Macaca mulatta: one gene and its partners. The protein of the gene in region 1 interacts with the protein of each later gene in a pairwise test. Links are inferred from orthologs where the notes say so. Each region holds a gene or a part of one and is shown in the gene's direction. Other genes may lie near its edges.

Evidence for each region.
Region 2: the proteins of EEIG1 (region 1) and SKAP1 interact in binary tests that used the Homo sapiens proteins (3 or more experiments, as listed by UniProt). The two-hybrid records come from large-scale screens. The link is inferred for Macaca mulatta from reciprocal best matches to the Homo sapiens genes EEIG1 and SKAP1.
Region 3: the proteins of EEIG1 (region 1) and SH3GL1 interact in binary tests that used the Homo sapiens proteins (3 or more experiments, as listed by UniProt). The two-hybrid records come from large-scale screens. The link is inferred for Macaca mulatta from reciprocal best matches to the Homo sapiens genes EEIG1 and SH3GL1.

Annotation. Positions count from the first base shown.
Region 1 is NC_133420.1:19,748,311-19,751,956, forward strand, and holds part of EEIG1 (early estrogen-induced gene 1 protein), read left to right. Parts: intron 1-1,309; coding exon 1,310-1,356; intron 1,357-1,498; coding exon 1,499-1,653; coding exon of another isoform or gene 1,654-1,688; intron 1,689-3,646. UniProt on the Homo sapiens protein: Key component of TNFSF11/RANKL- and TNF-induced osteoclastogenesis pathways, thereby mediates bone resorption in pathological bone loss conditions.
Region 2 is NC_133421.1:61,581,205-61,585,476, forward strand, and holds the start of SKAP1 (src kinase-associated phosphoprotein 1), read left to right. Parts: upstream 1-1,379; 5' UTR 1,380-1,486; coding exon 1,487-1,826; intron 1,827-4,272. UniProt on the Homo sapiens protein: Positively regulates T-cell receptor signaling by enhancing the MAP kinase pathway. Required for optimal conjugation between T-cells and antigen-presenting cells by promoting the clustering of integrin ITGAL on the surface of T-cells.
Region 3 is NC_133424.1:5,192,327-5,195,353, reverse strand, and holds part of SH3GL1 (endophilin-A2), read left to right. Parts: coding exon 1-143; intron 144-823; exon of another isoform or gene 824-1,395; coding exon 1,396-1,529; intron 1,530-1,727; coding exon 1,728-1,886; intron 1,887-2,104; coding exon 2,105-2,208; intron 2,209-2,848; coding exon 2,849-2,973; intron 2,974-3,027. UniProt on the Homo sapiens protein: Implicated in endocytosis. May recruit other proteins to membranes with high curvature.

The DNA of each region.
Region 1 (3,646 bases):
AAGTCATTTACCTGGAGTCACAGACAGAGCTGGCATCTGACCCCCAGCCAGTTGACTTCTTGGCCCAGCTCCTAATCCTGCCCCAAGTGACAGGCGGTAGGTAGCCTGGCCCCTAGTGGATTATCAGCGAAAACGATGGCTGCTGAGGGCTCTGGGGCAGGCATGGGCAGGTTTCCAATAGCCAGGGCATCCCCACCCCCAGGCAGCTGCCTTGTTGGCCTTTTGGGAACAGAAATGTCTGGGTGTCCATCATCAGCACACCTCTCTTCCTCTGTTTCCACACCTTCCACCTGGCCAGGAAAACAGGCTGTCCAAACAGCACCTCTGCAAGGGGACCCAGGGAGAGCCTATTGTATCTGGAGCAGAGCTGGGCAGGAGGTGGTGAGCAGGGACTCTGGGGCCTCCTAGACCCTTCGCAGAGGGAACCGGAGATGCCAGAAAGGGTCCAGACTATCTTGGGAGCCGGAGCCTTTCAGCCTCAGTCAGGCTGAAAAGCACAGCCCACAGTAGCCCTGTGCACCTCAGGCCAGATCAAGGGAGCCTGGGGGCCAGGTAGCCTTGGGTTCAAGGGCAACTCCCCCACGTCCTGTCTGCAGGGTCTTGGGAGTCACTTCCCCTCTCTGAGTCTTGGTTCCCTCATCAACAGCCTGGGGCTAGGCTGCTTTCATGGCCGAGTGAATAAGCCATAGAAAGCATCAACCTAGTGGTCACCCTTTCATAAGTGGTGGCCCCAGCATCTGTGCCCCTCTTTCCCACCTGCTCATCCTTTGCCTGTCACTCCATCTCAGCCTAGATTTTAGGATCCAAATGTTGCCACATTTGGGCTCTTAAGTTTGCAATGACTTCATGCTTTATTCATCAGACTTTCACCAAACCCTGCCCGCCACCTGCTGTGCCAGGCCCCATGAGCCCTCTTCCCTCTCCTGCCTGCTGGGTTAAGCTCTGTACTCCTTACACAGGGCCGGGGGTGAGTGTGTGACTCCACCCTGGAGAAGCTCACTGTCTAGGCCTGTAGCTGACTGCAGTCCGCTCACTCTGCCAGGCGCAGGGCTAAGCCCAGGCCTCACCTTGCTATGCCCTCCCCTCTGGTCTGCCAGGCAGGCCTTGGTACCATCTCTGTCCTCCACACAGGGAAACTGGGCTCAAAGAGGTTAGGTGGCTTTGCCAGAGCCCCCAAGCCAGAAGGGGGCAGAGAGACAGGACTGGAGTCCAAGCCCTTCTGAGGCCAGAGCCGAAAGGCTGCAGGGGGCCTTGCTCCTGGGCGGGCTGTGGGTGGCCAGGGCATGGCTGATTGCTCCCCTTGCCACAGGTCACCATTGGTATGTTCCTGCTCTCTGGAGACCCCTGCTTCAAGACGTGAGTGCTGGCACAGGCCTAGGGGGCGGATGGGAGCCCAGTCCTGGGCACTGGGGGTGGAGGAACAGGGACTCTTGGTGTCCTCCGTTTTCGTCTGGTCCTGAAGCGGGGCACCCTAGTCACACCTGTCTGTCTTCCCAAGGCCACCATCTACTGCCAAGTCCATCTCCATCCCAGGCCAGGATTCCTCCCTGCAGCTGACATGTAAGGGTGGCGGGACCAGCAGTGGTGGCAGCAGCACCAACTCCTTGACTGGGTCCCGGGCCCCCAAGGCCCGGCCCACCATTCTCAGCTCAGGTACAGTTCCTCATCTGCCCGCGCCTCCCCTGCTAGTGGCCCAAGGGCTTTACCTCCATGTCATGCCCAGGTCCCCAGGGAGATGCTGACTGAGGGGAAGGTGATGGTGGGAGGGTGTTTGCATGCTCCTGCTGGGCTGATGACATCTGAGTACCTTGTGTGTGCTGGCTATGCTGCTGGGCCCTGAGATCACAGCAGTGCCCTGGACTGAGACTGATGTGGCCTCCCCATCCTCATGGCCCTGCAGTCTAGCAGGAGAAACAGGCCTCAGCCAAGTCATAGGTAAATGACATGCATGTCTACCTGCAAACAGGGTAAGAGCTGGGGAAGACAGGCCCAGAAGGTGGGATCCATCCGGGGCCAGGGAAGGCTTCCCTGAGGATGTGGTGTCTGAGCTGCATTCGGAGGGTGAGGCACAGTATACCTGGCAGAGGGACGTGCTGGGACCTCTTGCTCTCCCACGTGCTCTATGACCTTGACTGGCCAGTTTGCCTCTCCCTGTCTCGGTGTTCTCTGGAAAATGGGATTGGTAATAGCAGTTACATCCCAGGTCACTTTGGGGATTAACTGTCCACATGTGGGCACCTGCCCCGCACATGGTAAGCACTCAGTGGGCACTCTGGTTTTTGTTTTTGTTTTTTTAGACAGAGTCTCACTCTGTCACTAGGCTGGAGTGCAGTGGTGCAATCTCGGCTCACTGCAACCTCCGCCTCCCGGGTTCAAGCATTTCTCCTGCCTCAGCCTCCGGAGTAGCTGGGACTACAGGCGAGCACCACCATGCCCAGCTAATTTTTTTTTTTTTTTTTTGTATTTTTAGTAGAGACAGGATTTCACCGTATTAGCCAGGATGGTAGCCAGGATGGTCTTGCTGTCCTGGTCTCGTGATCTGTCTGCCTCGGCCTCCCAAAATGCTGGGATTACAGGCGTGAGCCACCACGCCTGGCCGGGCACTCTGTTTTTATTAAATTATCACTGGTAATAATGTTATGAAAAATGTGAAAGAGCCCCAACCCCCAGAGGAGATGGCGTGGCAATTAGGAGGAGGGGGTGCTGCCCGGACAGGAGGCTCTGGCCTGCCCCCAGGTGTTTGTTTGCTGGGCCCCCTCAACCCTAAGCAGGGCCCCCAGAGGTATGAGCCTTGGACCACCCCCAGGTGATTAGTGAACAAGGCATCAGGTGGCAACCCTGATTGTCCCACAGAATCAGTTAGAGCACAGGCCTCGTGTGGCCCAGCAGATGCTTGCCAAGTGATTCTGCCTCTGTGAACTGGGAGCGGTGAGGGACCCTCTGACCTCAAGGGTCTGGCCTTCCTTCACTCCCTCTTCCCCTGCAGACCCAGCCAGCTGAGGCCCGGAACAGAAAGCTGGGGGCTTCCCAGCACAATTACTCTCTCCAGCCCCTGGATGGGAGTCCCCAGAAGAGACATGTATCTGGGGATCAGACCACCCCAGCGCAGGTGGTACCTTCGTGTGAAGTAGAAGAGGCCCCTCCCCCAGGCAGGGTGGGACTTGAGTGCCCACTTGCCTCTGGAGCTGGGCTCACCCCATATGCAGAGAACCTGTTGGGGACTTGAAAAGCCACATAGTTATGGATGGGCACACAGGCCAGCCTGGGGTATCACAGGCCAGCCTGGGGTGTGTTGGGCAGGAGGGCGGGTGGGTACTCAGAGCCCTGGGTAGGTCCCACCTGGTCCCTTATGCCTCCTGTTGGGGAGTGCCAGGAAAATCTGTTTTGAAGTTGGACTTATGGGTAACTTGGGACAGGACTGTGGGCCTGTCCCTTTGGGCCAGCCTGCTCCCCTTCACCCTGTCCCTTCCACTCCAACTCTGCTGACCCAGGCCCCTTCCAGCCTCGGGGCCTCTGCCAATGCTGTTCTCTGTGCCTGGAAGGCCCTTGCCCTCCTGAGGCCTTAGCTGGCTCCCTCCAGCGATATGTCCTGGAGGTCTGCCATTAAGGCCATCTCCTTGGAGAAGCCTTCCCTGTCCTCAGACTG
Region 2 (4,272 bases), on another chromosome or scaffold:
CTTGCCCCATCTCCTAGGTTGAGTCCATCATTATTCCCCTTATAGCTGTTGTAAAAACCATTTTACCCACTTTCCTTGTGTCTTTTCTTACCACTCCTAATCTTTTCTACATATTCTGTAGGTTGAGTCTGAGAATAGAAACGCCACTTTTTACTAAGAAGGAAAACAGCAGAGGTGGAGATGTGTGAGGCCACATACTATACCGGAGCTCCCGTTAGGTCATTCCCAATCTAAAAAATTGTCAATGGCTCCCCAGTGCCCACTCAATTAAGTTCAACTTTCCTATTCTGACTTTCAATTCCCTTAACAGTAGAGCTGCAGTTTATCTTGACAACCATAGTCTTCCTACAACATCCAGTAAAAGAGGGCTACTAACTAGTCCTCAAGCTGGTAAGGGCTCTTCCTTCTTTCTTTACTCTGGTCCTTCCACCTGGAAAGTCCTCCTGCCCCTTCAAAGTCTGGTGTGTTTTTCAGAGCCCATCTCAAACACCACATGCACCTTTGAACACTCACAAGCATACTGGCACTTCCTTTTTTTTTTTTTTTTTTTTGCTTTTTTAAGAGACAGGGTCTTGCTCTGTTGCCCAGGCTGCAGTACACTAGGGTGATCATAGTTGGCTGTAACCTCAGACTCCTGTGCTCAAGTGATTCTCCTGCCTCAGCCTCCCAAAGTGCTGTGATTACAGGTGTGAGCCACAATGCCTGGCCTCTTCCCTCCTTTTCTTGTATTCAACTCCCTTCTTTTATCAACCGTAGCACTTTATACCTTTTTCATGGCAGTGGACCTATTGTACTTTAAAAAACCTCTTCATTTTGAGAGAATTGTAGATTCACAGAGAGTTTAAGAAATAATAATAATAAGATGAAATAATAATAGAGGAATTTCGTCTATCTTTACCCAGTTTCCCCCAAGGGTAACATCTGGTAATATTACAGTACCATGTTACAACCAGGAGACTGACACCAAGTGTCCCTTGAATGAGACTGTGATTTTGTCCTTCACTTTCCTCCCTTCCGCAGCTCTTGGAGGGAAAGGGCTCTGTTCTCCTCTCCCTCAGCTTTCTCCCTGAGTTACCCCTTACTTTCCTCAGGGCCTTTCCAGCCTGAGGGAGAACAGCACAGTTCGGTTTCCTGTGTCCCTTGCTGCCACGCTGCCGCGATTCTCCCAAATGGTGGTGTCCTTATATTGCTTATTGGGAATTAATCATTTCCTTTCAACATTGTGGCTTCCCTAAGAGCGAAGTTTTGCCCTCTTTTCTGGAGATGGAGATGTGAACTGGACAGGCAATTGAGAGGTGCTATGCTTGACGGGAATTGGATTCTGCCTCTCGGCACCCTACTTCAGGCACCCCGCGGTCTTTCAAATCTGCCACCGTGAGTTCATCTGTTCGGTGCTTAGGATGGAGTCTTCAAAGCCGTGGGTCCTTTGAGCCTTTTGAAGTCTTCTGTTTTGGTGGGTGCTGGAGGGGCGCACCTTTGGCCTCGCATGGTGCGGTGCTTCTGGCACCCCCAATCCTTCTACCGCGGGGCCCCGGGCGTGAGCGCCACGTGCGCCCACACCCCGCGCCCCTTCCCGGGTCCCCGCCTGTCGCCCGCGCCACTTCCTGAAGCGCCCCGGGACCCACAGCCCCGCCCCGCGGCCGGGCTGGGCGGGCGGCGACCGCGGCTGAGGTACAGGTGCCTCGCGGCGCAGCCGGGTCGCCTTCCAGCCGGTCCGCCTCGCGACCAGGGCCCGCGCCCCCTCCCGCCTCGCACACCGGTCTCTCTCCCGCCCAGCCAAATGCAGGCCGCCGGCCTCCCTGAGGAGATCCGTTGGCTCCTGGAAGGTAACGCCCTGGCGCAAGCCCCCTTAAGTGCTGAGCCGAAGGCAGAAAGGCGACTCCAGGCCTCCCACAGCCAGGCTTTCTTTTCAGCTTCCTCACTCACCTCCTTCTAGAACCTTAAGGCTTCTAGAGGCCTCAGCTCCCCAGAGCCATCTTTCCATCCTCTCAACTCAGGGCCCCTTTCACTCCCTGGAGTCCCACATCTTCCTTTTCCTTGAGGCACCTCCAGGCCTCCACTTCACCTCCCCGGCTTCTAAAGTCCTCAGGCCAGGTTCTTGGTCTCCCATGCCACCTTGCCTGGTCTTCGACCTGTCCCTTTCTCCGAATAACTGCTCTACATCTGTAGGGTTTCCCGTCCCCCTCCTTCCCCAGACACGACTTCCTCACCTGTCACAGAAGACCCCAAACCTTCCTGCTTAGAGGTCCGCGAGGCTCTCCAGGGGGCTGCGAGGGGCTCATGGGATCCCCATGGGCCAAGGCCAGGTGGTTGACGTGAGTTTTTGTCAGTGCGAAAACCCCAGCCCTCCCTTTATCACCCTGCGGACGTCTAGGGGGTCTCACCCACCCCAAGGCAGGCTCATTCTCAGTATGGGATTTCCTCCTTTTCTAGAAGTGCCCCCATTGTGGTGTGTTCACCTTCCGACTACAGTGTCTAAGCGATGGTTTAAAGAGTTCCGGCCATCCCCATCAACACTCAGCACACACTGCCGACACTCCAGAGAGATGTCTCAGAGACGTTGCTAAAGGGCAGTTTCATCTGCTGGGTTTCATGGTGAAAGTCACTTTTACTTGCTTTCCTGTAACTAACCTTCCAGAGAGGACAGAGGCCTGGAATCTGCAGTTGCATAAGGGTTCCAGGAGAAAACTATTCAGAATTAAGCCTTTTGGCATCTAAGTTGACGTATTTGACACATATTTAACAGATGGCCTGCTTTGGGCAGGTCACACTTTTGGCAAGCAGTATTTTTTTTTTTCAGTTTCTCTCAATTTAATTGGTTTTATATCTCCATTACCTTGTTATCTCGGTATAAATGCCTCCTAATCAAATATTTGGCAAGTCCTTTTGGTCTCTGTTGGTAGCACTGTTTCCATTCTGGATTGCTTCTATGTAAAAGCTGTCAACTAGATATTTCTTTTGAGGTGAGGTTTCCAAAATCCATTTTACTTATGATCAGAATAAATCTAAATTTTGGGGGTGGAAAACTATTTGCAGGGTAAAGGAGCATTATCTAAGTGTCTAAGAAGAAGCAATCCAGCCTTTCCCTCTGTTGTTGGTTTAATATTAGGCTTGTGAAGGAAGGCTGTAATTGTCTTTGGTTTCTAGGAGAGAAAGAACTGTGGCGAAAAGTTTAACTCTGCCCTTGCATTGAAAGATATAAAGTGGTTCTTTTTATTGGTATCTGTCATTTGATGAGAGGAAACCTATTTTATAAGCTTGTTAAACTATACTTCAGTTTTGTGTCTAGCCTTGGTAGAAAATTCCTTTTTATTTTCAGAGGCTTGCAATGAAATCCATTCCTTCAGCATTTTTGATGTGCAGTTCTTTATTGTTCAAAACTGACACTTTGGTAAACAACTCATTTCTGCACCTGCCACCTTCCTTTAGCTTAGATTATTTTCTTGTTAGCTGACTGTTTTTAATTGAAGTCTTCAGATCTCCTTCTAAAGCAGAACCTTTGTTTGCTGACAAGTAGAGCAGGGTATGAATGGAGATTAATTGCATGTCACATACTTCTGTATCAAGCTTGCTGTGTCTTAACAATCTCTGTTGGTGCTCAGGTCTTTAAAATATATGGAGGAGTCTGAAACCAAATTATAAGGAGCTTCGTTGGTTAATGTATTTCTTTAAGGCTTTTTTTTTTTTTTAGTTTGCAATTAGAACTTGAACTGAAGTAGAGAAAAAAATGTAGTGTGATTCATCCAGTGATTCTAATGAAAAATGTTTGAAGAATATGTTTTTGAAAGGTTCCTGTAATAATAATAGCAACATATTGGTTACAAGTTTTATTTCTTATGGAACATAGTCCCTGGTGTAGACCGGGAGCATTATTCATTGTGTTACAAATAATCTGTCGATATTAGAAGCCCACAATGGCCATCAATTTGTTGTTTGTTGCTATTTGTCTCCCCCACCACACACTTTTTAAGGGTAACTGTTGACAATTAGAAAAAATGGAGGTCCTGATCTCTATATAGTCACTCTGTGGGAGGGAAACACAGGATGTGAGGGCTGCAACTCTAGTGCTGCCACATGGCTGTGGGGGTGGAATTTCCATAATGAATTACTACTTTCATAAACCAAGGCATAAGCATTGGCACAGTGATTTAACACTGGACATCACAGCTATAACTTAAGCATTTATTTGTTTATAACTACACAAGCATAAATGACAGAGGGGCATTTTTTGACATAATGTGTGTGCTTTTAAGAATAAAATATGTAAAGCAT
Region 3 (3,027 bases), on another chromosome or scaffold:
CTCGCGGGCTAAGCTGACCATGCTCAACACGGTGTCCAAGATCCGGGGCCAGGTGAAGAACCCCGGCTACCCACAGTCGGAGGGGCTCCTGGGCGAGTGCATGATCCGCCACGGGAAGGAGCTGGGCGGCGAGTCCAACTTTGGTGAGTGGTGCTCTCTGGAAGCCACGCCCACCCTCCCTGGAGGCCACGCCTCAACACAGGCAGGGCAGGTGCAGGTCCAGGTCCAGCCGATGGGGCCCTTTCCTGTAGCTCCAGACCTTCCCCAGCTCAAGCCAGCTGGTTCCCCAGAGTCTGGACGCGCCGCCCCCCCCCCCCCCCCCCCCCCCGCCAGCATCTATCCTTCCACCACCTTCAGCCTGTTAAGGGCAAACCTAGGCCCTTTTAGGAGCGTGGGGAGGGGGCTGGTTTAACATCCAGTATTGATTGGGATTTTAGGATCCTTTGTTTTGTTCTGAGTTCCAATTTCCAGGCCCTTGGCCTGGAGTGTGGGGGCTGTTAGAAGTTGGGATGGGGCTGAGTGCAGTGACTCATGCCTGTAATCCCAACACTCTGGGAGGCCAAGGCAGGTGGATCACCTGAGGTTGGGAATTCAAGACCAGCCTGACCAATATAGAGAAACCCCACCCTGCCTCTACTAAAAAAACATATATATATATATATATATATATATATATATGTATATATGTGTATACATATATATGTGTATATATATACATATATATGTGTGTATATATATATATATGATATAATTAGCCGGGTGTGGTAGCGCATGCCTGTAACCCCAGCTACTCAGGAGGCTGAGGCAGGAGAATCACTTGAACCCAGGAGGTGGAGGTTGCAGTAGCCCAGATTGTACTATCGCACTCCAGCCTGGGCTACAAGAGCTAAACTCCATCTAAAAGAAAAAAAAAGGCTGGGCGCGGTGGCTTACACCTGTAATCCCAGAACTTTGGGAGGCCGAGGCGAGTGGATCACGAGGTCAGGAGTTGGAGCCCAGCCTGGTCAATATGGTGAAACCTCATCTCTACTAAAAATACAAAAATTAGCTGGGTGTGGTGGTGCACACCTGTAATCCCACCTACTCAGGAGGCTGAGACAGGAGAATCACTTGAACCTGGGAGGCAGAGGTTTGAGTGAGCAGAGATCGCGCCACTGCACTAAGTGGCGCGAGACTTCGTCTCAAAAAAAGACGTTGGAAAGGATCCGGGTGTGGTGGTGCACGCCTGTGGCCCCAGCTACTTGGGAGGCTGAGGTGCCAGCATGGCTTGAGCCCAGTTCGAGGCTGCAGTGAGCTGGGACAGCGCCACTGTGTTCCAGCCTGCGAAACCCTGTTTCAAAAACAAAGGCTGAGGAGTGTCTTAGTCCAGTGGTCTCAGGCCCGGCTTCTCCCCAGGCGACGCATTGCTGGATGCCGGCGAATCCATGAAGCGCCTGGCAGAGGTGAAGGACTCCCTGGACATAGAGGTCAAGCAGAACTTCATTGACCCCCTCCAGAACCTGTGTGAGAAAGACCTGAAGGAGATCCAGGTGCTGCTGCTGCGCCAGCCCAGGGCCTATCCCTTCCCCCTGCTGGATGGGGCAGCCCCATTCCTGCCACCCTTGGCACTGCCCTCTGGGTCGCGGGCAGGTGGGATCCCCAGTGGTGCAGGGACAGTGGGTCAGGGCCATGCATCGGGCAGGTCTCTGGCCGCTGCTGGCCTGACCCATGTCCCCCACTATCTCCAGCACCACCTGAAGAAGCTGGAGGGCCGCCGCCTGGACTTTGACTACAAGAAGAAGCGGCAGGGCAAGATCCCTGATGAGGAGCTACGCCAGGCACTGGAGAAGTTCGAGGAGTCCAAGGAGGTGGCAGAAACCAGCATGCACAACCTCCTGGAGACCGACGTGAGTAGCTGGGGCTGCCACGTCCTGACAAGCCCCATGCCCTTGGGAGGCCGGAGGCGGCAGTGACCTGGCCTCTGCAGCAGGGGAGGTTGAGGGTACAGGCCCCAGTCCCCTGTCCCCTTTCGGCCCCCTTGCCTCCTGTGGCTTCACCTCGTGAGTCAGGGAAGGCACAGGACAGTGGTGCTGGCAGGAGCCCCTGAGCCCTGTTGTCCCCACAGATCGAGCAGGTGAGTCAGCTCTCGGCCCTGGTGGACGCACAGCTGGACTACCACCGGCAGGCCGTGCAGATCCTGGATGAGCTGGCCGAGAAGCTCAAGCGCAGGTGAGCCTGGGCTGCCATGGGCCTCTGCCAGCACGCGTGGGCAGCACACCTCACTCTGGGGTGAGCGCATGGCATGGCAGAGCAGCATCCTGGATTCTTCCTGGGGACCAAGTGGAATGGCCTGGGGGGCCACAAGGTTGAAGGAGGAGGAACCCGGTCTGTGAGAACTCTGAGTCAACACGCAGCCCTGCCCCAGATGCAGGCCCTGGCGACTCCTAACCACGTGCCTGTTCCTTCCCTGGCTGCACTTTCTGCTGCCACAGGAACACCCAGGCTCCCTTCCCTGAACAGAGGCCAGACCTGCTTTGGGGGCCTAGGCATGTGTCAGGCACCAGCTGTGGTAGGGAATGGGGGGTGGAGGTGGGGGGATGCGACTGGGGGCGTTGTAGGTAGAGGCCGTGGCAGGACCCAGCTGCTTGGCAGTCTCTGAGATGGCTCCAAGGTGGGGGTCCAGGCTGGAGGCCCTCTGGGTAGACATCCCAGTCTAGCTGTGTCCCAGGGTCCATGTGTCACGACCCCACTGACAGCCTCTTCCTGCAGTCCTAGGCTAGGTTACTAGGCAGCAGCATAAATACAGGGGTGGGGCTGCCTCAGCGGTGACACTCACGGGCTCGGGCCACTCACATCTCTCCCTTCACAGGATGCGGGAAGCTTCGTCACGCCCCAGGCGGGAGTATAAGCCCAAGCCCCGGGAGCCCTTTGACCTCGGAGAGCCTGAGCAGTCCAACGGGGGCTTCCCCTGCACCACAGCCCCCAAGATCGCAGGTAACCGGACATGGAGCCATCTTCTGGAGGCACATGCCAGCGGGTGGGAGTGGC